Solanum lycopersicum: one gene and its partner. The main gene of each other region encodes a partner of the protein of the gene in region 2 in a complex. Links are inferred from orthologs where the notes say so. Each region holds a gene or a part of one and is shown on either strand. Other genes may lie near its edges. The genes, in order: NADH dehydrogenase [ubiquinone] flavoprotein 2, mitochondrial; NADH dehydrogenase [ubiquinone] flavoprotein 1, mitochondrial.

Region 1 (3,181 bases), on a different chromosome or scaffold from region 2:
TTGTAAGAGATCAAAATTTAACAAGAATTTTTTTTTCATTTGTTGAAGGAAGTAGCTAAGTATTTGAGTTGTTCCAAAATAAATTCTAATAAATAACATAAGATTTTCAAAATCGTTTTACGTAAGGTATAATAATTTTAAAGATAAAATATAGAATTATTTTATTCTACGTTTGATTAAAGGTATTAAGTAATTTTGAAATTACTGATCTCACTATTTGTAACTTAGTTAATTAAACTTTGGAATAACTTATCCGGAACCAATCAATCCAAGTCTAAAAAACTTTTAAGTCTTTCTTTTGGTTTTTGTATTTTTTTTTGAAAGCGTGTGTGGTTGGGTTGTGATAGTGGTTTGACTTAATTCTCTAAATTTTCTCCTGAGTAATTATTGGGTTGCATAATTGGAGAGAGAATGAAAAAGGCAACTCTGACGGAAAGCTGTTTCCCATTTTGCTTAATATAAATTATTATACTATATTGTATTTTCTTGCGTTATCATAATAATAACTTGGATAATATTTTTGGGTTGGTCCTATCTGATGATAGTAATTTGACTTGGACTCTCAATCACTAGACTCAAATTTCAACAATCAACGACTTGGAAGGGGATTGAAACGTTGATGGCTCATTAAAATATATGAGCTAATTAAAAACTCAAAATAGCAACTTCGACTCCAATTTTCCAGTGTCACTATGAAACAAGAAAAGTAATCACAAGAAACTTTGAATGCCAGTTGTTTATTTATTCAGTAGAAAATCTCTTTTCACATCCAAAACGCCAAACAACAATGCCATTTCTCCCTCCCAGTACACTTGAGTATTAGAGTGTAATGATTGGAAAAGCTATTGGCTTCTTAAATCAAAAACTTCCTAATTGTAAACTAACCATTCTGTACTAAATCAATTCTAGGCAAAACATTACATCCTGACCCAAAACAAAGGACTTTCACTGGATCCGGTAAGAGTTAAACCGATAAAACAAACAAGAATCAGTTTTACCTGTAATTATACTGACAGACAGAAAACAATCTTTAAATATCATCAATGCAGTAGGTAAGTTACTGCATATGATATCGGATGCGTCTCTCCATCCATTGTTTTGCATTATTAAAAAACTGAACAACAAGAAATTTATTCAGCAGCATCTAGATCCCGACAAGGAGGAGCCTTAGGCTCACCTAATAATGTAGTATTTCCTCCTTCTGGTCCACAATTGATACGACCTGGATTCTGAGTGCCGCGCTGAAACATAAAAAAGCATGACAATCAACAAAGCATTGATGTCATTATGCATGATAAAATTAGTCTATGCAACTTATAGTCGTCTTACCGGTGGTTTTTCACCTTTCCTGAATGCCTCAACAATCTCTACAGCTTTCTTTGGAGTGAGATCCTCCTGCAGAAAGGAAGGGAAGACCAATTAAGCTCCAAATACTTAAACTTATTACTATAAGATTGAACAAGTGATCAAAACAGGATTTACGTATTAACTCACATAATAATTGTAAGCATATCCTTCAGATCCATTGGAATAGTCAGCCACCGTCATCATTGGAGCATTTACACAGCAACCCTGTCACCAAAATGAGGTGTGATATTAAAGCACTTATCTATCAAATAAGCAACGACTTGAATGGTGTTCAACATTCTGAACAAATATGAGTAGCTAATGACCTAATCAATGGTTCCTTGCTGAAGAGCTTCCAATGCATGGAAAGAAGAATGTTGCAGTAGTTTAAACAACACTACTATTTTTTAAGCATATTGAAAATAATTCTATTGAAAATTTTCTTCTGATGAATAACCGTAACTTGTCATTAACAGTAGGTTCCACTGTTTCAACTCCAGAATCATATCTTATGCCTTTACAAGGTTGGTTAGGAAGCTAGTGAAAACATAGGCTTTTAAACTGAGAGTCAGCAAAAGATAAAAGCAAAGACATAATCTTGTCTTTCCCACCCTGCTTTTTCATTGGTGCGTCATATATCCTTATGATTTTCACGACTTCTCCAGAGTTCCCAATTAATAGTAAGTGGCCCCCTACAGATGCCCAATTTAGGTCTAAACAAGGTCCACTGAACCAGTGTTATCAAAGGCGCGCTTAAACCCTGAAGCAAGACTCAAAACGTGTTGAGCGCTTCACCTCGCTTTATGTGCGCTTCAGTGTCGTCATCAAGGTTCTAAGGGTGTTTGCCTTACCAGAGCCTCATATGAAGAAGTGACACTAAATAATTGATATACTTTATCATCAATTTCTTTGGACATTTTTTGTCATCCATGTTTATAATTATTAGTCTATGACTAAACATATATATTTGTATTCTTTTCTCCCTTTGTGCCTTTTTTCATTAAAGCCCACGCTTTATTTACGCTTTGCGCTTAAAGCCCTCACATACCTTAGAGCTTTTTTGCACTTTTCGCCTTTGATAACACTGCACTGAACAGACCTCAATGCATTGGCGACAATGCACGTAGATTAGGGACTTTCAAACACTGCCACCACAAACAAAATCCTAGCAGAATTTAAGTTAACAAGTTGGTTATTTTTCAGCACCAATTTAGATTATCCAAAAAGTTCCGAACTGTGCCCCGGTGGCCCTAGAATATTTTTAGTTATCATAATATCTAGTCAAATTTCACTATGACTAACATAAATAGGAAAATATGGTTTGAGAAAACTGTCTGATAACAGTAAAGATGAGTTCTCTGACTTAGAATAGTTCCCTGCCTATCACATCTTTCTCTTCTCATGTATCTAAAAACCATCCAACCAAGGGAGGCATCCTCAGCAATCGATGAGTTCAAGCCCTTAGAGGCCCCAATTAGACAAGGACCAAACCATCAAAAGGGCTATGAGGAAAATGAAGTTCCTCGACAAGTTGATAGGTTTGCAGATTAAAAAAAGAATACATTTGCCCCAGAATCTGAAACCTTTTGTCACTTTACTTTCGGTAAAGGTGGATAAATTGTGTATCCTCCATATAAGGCTGTGCTTGTACATGTGTCCATGCACACTATTACAGCCAAACCTCTTTATAAGTTATGACAACCTCATTTGTTTGAACCTTTTTTTGCCTATTACACACCTATTAATTGGCCTTTGGATCTAATTTGGTTGTTATAGACAGGAAATATTTAAAACATTTTCCAAATCTGTAGAGATACTGAGAGTAGAGTAAGAG
Region 2 (4,337 bases):
TTTGGGCTATTTTTTTTTTGAAATAGGACCCAGTTAACTACTTGTCAAAAAATAAATGAAGGATCATACAAATTTTGTCTACCACATAACACTTGTGCCTCATTCGTCATAAAATTTTTAGTATATTCTCAAATGGTACTAGTGAAACAGAGGCATGGGTAAAGCATATAATTGAGCTGCCATCATTGTCAACAACAACATCTCTATTTACAACAATCATAAAGGAGAGATTGTATGGATTCCAGATAGTAATTAACACTTTGCACATGTTCTTATATGACAATGGATTGAAACAATGGGGAAAAGTTTGAGATACAAAGGAATTATGAACAACAATGTATCACGGATCCGTATAGTGTTTTTCTATATCTTGTAGAAAGTATTAGGCCAAGAGTTAATCTAGTATTGAACCACCTACGAGAAATATGGTGGACTCATTTATCCTTAATCAAGACGTGGTGGATTTAGGTAACGTTGATACATAGTCATTTTTTTTACGGAGCACTTTATTTTTAACGTAAAATTTTTCCGCACGAATTTAAATTTAGTTGGACTTCAATGTGAATATAAACACCGGTGAAAAATTAAAAATAAAATTAGTATCGAACAAGGATTGATTCTAAGCACATGTATGGTTTAATTTTATGTCTCTTGTTTAAAATACTACGTTATCATTACTCTTCTATTAACTTATTTTTCAATTCTACTACTATTTGTTGTTTTCTCTGCATTGGTCTTAGTTTTTTTTATATGTTTTAGCTTAGTCGAGTTTTTAGCAAAAACAACATCTTACTTTTTTACGATAATAATAAATTATTTACACACCACTCTTACGATTATTATTATCGCATTTAGAACAATTTATTATCAAATGTTCTAACACACGCGTGTGTATTGAGGATTCATTAGCACTAATGGCTTTGTTTTTAGATGATATTTAAATTTTGTCTATGTACACATCCAAACCTAACATTAACCAAAAGAGTAATTTTTCAAGCTATATCTGTTAACTTTTAAAATAGGGAAAGAATATAATATTTGGGTATATATTGGACATTAATGGCAGACGATAAATGTATATCACTGGTATACATGATTTTTGCATATTTCGATCATATTGGTACATTAATGGCAGACGATAAATCTTTTAACTTTGGTGTCACTAAGGCCCATTACGACATTTCCTGAACACTAAGGCCCATCATGATATTTCATACCCATCAAGCCCACTACGTGGACCGTCATGATTCACAAATCGCAACAGCTTCATTTTCCCTTATTTTTTTCTTATTTTTATGAGAAAGAGAGCTTCAATCTCACCCTAATCTGCTGGAGAATCAGCTGAATTTCGTCGATTAATCACATTTCTGCTTCAATATTCATGGTAAGTCCCTATCTTCGATCTGTAATTTTTTTGCGCCACCAAAATACAAATGAAAATTTGTTGTGAGAATACGCCTTACGTGCATTTTGATGCGTCCTCGGTTTGTTCGTTGATTACTCTTTTGGTACTCTTCATAGGATATTTATTGCAAATTTATATTTTCAGAGATGTGGCTTAATTTTAACTGATTCGAATGGCCATGGTATTCCTAGAAAGATGAATGATGAGGAACCCTAAATTTTATTTGGCTAGCACATGTGGGTATTGCTTTTGATCTTTTTTGATTCCTGGATAAGTTATTCAGGAGAGGTGTTGCTTCATTGATCTGCTTTCGTTGAAAAAAAATGGGTTATTTTTTTAGATTGGAGTATGTTATAAGTTATGCAAGTTCATATTTTGAACCTAACCTCCTTATCAGAACTCTTTAATTCATAGACTCCGTAGCTTCTTTTCTTTGTTTGTGTGTGTTTTCAACTTTGTAATTTAGAATGAGTTATATGTATATAGATTAATAAGGAGTTAGTGTAGTCTTCCGCTGTACTTTGAATTAAGCTCTTTCAAGGTAAGCTTCTTTTTTCAGGGAAAGAAAACCTTCATACTCTATTACTTCGGAAGGCTTATGTATTTATTTTAGAGAGGTAGATGTAAATTAAATTAGTACCTAAACTTTGAAAACAGTTAGTTAGAGATGTTTTGCGTAAGTGTTTCCTCCCCTCCCCCACCCAGACATCAAAAGGAGGGTATTCTTTTTGTTTCTTCCCCTCTTGTGCAATTCCCTTAGCATCAGGTATTAACAATCTATTTTGGGAATAATTTTTTTGGAAATGTTACTGTTACTCTCTCGATCTTATGTTTCTATTCAATCAACTCTGCTTCGGTGAGTTTAGCAAAGTGTACCCCATCTAAAGCCTGGAAAAGAGTTGTGTTGTGGTTGGTCTCCTAGAAAAAGAGAGTATTTTGCAATCATGATGCATAGACCCATCGCTTAGTGCAGTATAATACAATCTTTTACCTTTGTAATTATGCTTGCTCAGTCTCGCCTCTTATGAGGCTAAAATTACTGATGTGTGGCATGTTCTTCTAACAGGCACCTATAAAGGGCCTTCTTTCTCTACAACGAACTGCATTAGCTCAGCGTTCTAGTGAAAGATGGGGCCAATATGGTAGGTTATTTAGCACTCAGGCTGCATCAACTGCTAGCACTCCCCAACCTACACCCCCACCCCCACCTCCCGAGAGGACTCACTTTGGTGGCCTTAAAGATGAGGATCGTATTTTCACAAATCTCTACGGATTGCATGACCCTTACCTCAAAGGTGCCATGAAGCGAGGAGATTGGTACAGAACAAAAGATCTTGTCATCAAGGGTTCTGACTGGATCGTGAATGAAATGAAGAAATCTGGTCTTCGAGGACGTGGTGGTGCTGGTTTTCCATCTGGTCTCAAATGGTCCTTCATGCCAAAGACAACAGATGGCCGTCCTTCATATCTTGTCGTCAATGCTGATGAAAGTGAACCTGGAACCTGTAAAGACAGGGAAATCATGCGGCATGACCCACACAAGTTGTTGGAAGGCTGTCTGATTGCAGGAGTGGGGATGAGAGCTAGAGCTGCTTATATTTATATCAGGGGAGAGTATGTGAATGAAAGGTTGAGCCTTCAGAAGGCTAGACAAGAAGCCTATGAAGCTGGATTGTTGGGGAAAAATGCTTGTGGATCTGGTTATGATTTTGACGTATATATTCATTTTGGTGCTGGTGCCTATATTTGTGGTGAAGAGACAGCTCTTCTGGAGAGCCTTGAGGGCAAACAAGGCAAACCAAGATTGAAGCCTCCATTTCCAGCTAATGCAGGACTATATGGATGTCCAACAACTGTTACAAATGTTGAAACAGTAGCTGTTTCACCAACCATCTTAAGGCGTGGTCCAGAGTGGTTTGCTAGTTTTGGCCGGAAGAATAATGCCGGGACAAAGCTGTTTTGCATCTCAGGCCATGTTAACAAGCCCTGTACAGTTGAAGAGGAAATGAGTATTTCATTGAAGGAGCTGCTAGAGAGGCACTGTGGTGGTGTGCGTGGAGGATGGGACAATTTGCTTGCTGTTATACCAGGAGGTTCATCTGTTCCACTGCTTCCCAAGAACATATGTGAGGATGTACTTATGGATTTTGATGCACTCAAAGCTGTGCAGTCAGGGTTGGGAACTGCTGCTGTAATTGTCATGGACAAGTCAACTGATGTTGTAGATGCAATTGCAAGGCTCTCGTACTTCTACAAGCACGAGAGTTGTGGTCAATGTACACCATGTAGGGAAGGCACAGGATGGCTTTGGATGATCATGGAAAGAATGAAGGTTGGCAATGCAAAGTTGGAAGAGATTGACATGCTCCAAGAGGTGACAAAACAGATTGAAGGGCACACTATTTGTGCCTTGGGTGACGCTGCTGCTTGGCCAGTACAGGGTCTTATTAGGCACTTTAGACCAGAGCTAGAAAGGAGGATCAGGGAGCATGCAGAGAGGGAGCTACAACAGGCAGCTGCTGCTTGATTCTTTTATGAGGTTGGTTCTTAAACTTTTGTTACATTTACATTGTAGTGTTTGATACTTGATAGTAACCATGAATCATCATCTTAATAAAACATTCATCTAAAAATTCGTTGCATGCTGTAAACTTTAATAAAGTGAAATTGGTTTCCAAACTCTTTCTAGTTCCCTTTTTTTGTTCGGATAATGGGTCTTTTTTTATCCTCTTGTTGTTTGGATTATCAAAGATCATAGTAACATGTACAAAATACTCCAAGCCCAAGGTACACCTCTCAGGAACTTTATCTCCTGCCCTTTTGTAATACTGCTGACCTCTCGCTAGGTCAATGCAACTTCAATTATTTCTGTCATGACAAAGAATTACCAAAATTTCCTTCCAACCGGACTCTTCTTTTGACCAATATAGGA

The links.
Region 1: the proteins of NADH dehydrogenase [ubiquinone] flavoprotein 1, mitochondrial (region 2) and NADH dehydrogenase [ubiquinone] flavoprotein 2, mitochondrial are in contact, whole or in part, in a cryo-EM structure (PDB 9F5X), measured with the Chlamydomonas reinhardtii proteins. The link is inferred for Solanum lycopersicum from reciprocal best matches to the Arabidopsis thaliana genes CI51 and AT4G02580. Residues at the interface, in XP_001702590.1 of Chlamydomonas reinhardtii: Asp58, Glu59, Arg61, Phe63, Gln64, Asn65, Ile66, Tyr67, Arg69, His70, Met78, Ser79, Arg80, Gly81, Tyr84, Met85, Glu88, Ile89, Lys92, Trp96, Gln100, Tyr133, Glu142, Pro143, Gly144, Thr145, Cys146, Arg149, Glu150, Arg153; in XP_001698508.1 of Chlamydomonas reinhardtii: Thr42, Arg79, Tyr80, Pro81, Tyr84, Gln86, Ser87, Ile89, Ile90, Pro91, Asp94, Val95, Glu125, Val126, Phe129, Tyr130, Thr131, Met132, Phe133, Gly147, Thr148, Thr149, Pro150, Arg152, Leu153, Gln154, Glu184, Met185, Glu186, Cys187.

Annotation. Positions count from the first base shown.
Region 1 is NC_090808.1:60,899,022-60,902,202, forward strand, and holds the end of NADH dehydrogenase [ubiquinone] flavoprotein 2, mitochondrial, read right to left. Parts: intron 1,573-3,181; coding exon 1,495-1,572; intron 1,396-1,494; coding exon 1,330-1,395; intron 1,242-1,329; coding exon 1,131-1,241; 3' UTR 722-1,130; downstream 1-721. UniProt on the Arabidopsis thaliana protein: Core subunit of the mitochondrial membrane respiratory chain NADH dehydrogenase (Complex I) that is believed to belong to the minimal assembly required for catalysis. Complex I functions in the transfer of electrons from NADH to the respiratory chain.
Region 2 is NC_090801.1:65,985,216-65,989,552, forward strand, and holds the start of NADH dehydrogenase [ubiquinone] flavoprotein 1, mitochondrial, read left to right. Parts: upstream 1-1,235; 5' UTR 1,236-1,381; coding exon 1,382-1,384; intron 1,385-2,471; coding exon 2,472-3,932; 3' UTR 3,933-3,944; intron 3,945-4,337. UniProt on the Arabidopsis thaliana protein: Core subunit of the mitochondrial membrane respiratory chain NADH dehydrogenase (Complex I) that is believed to belong to the minimal assembly required for catalysis. Complex I functions in the transfer of electrons from NADH to the respiratory chain.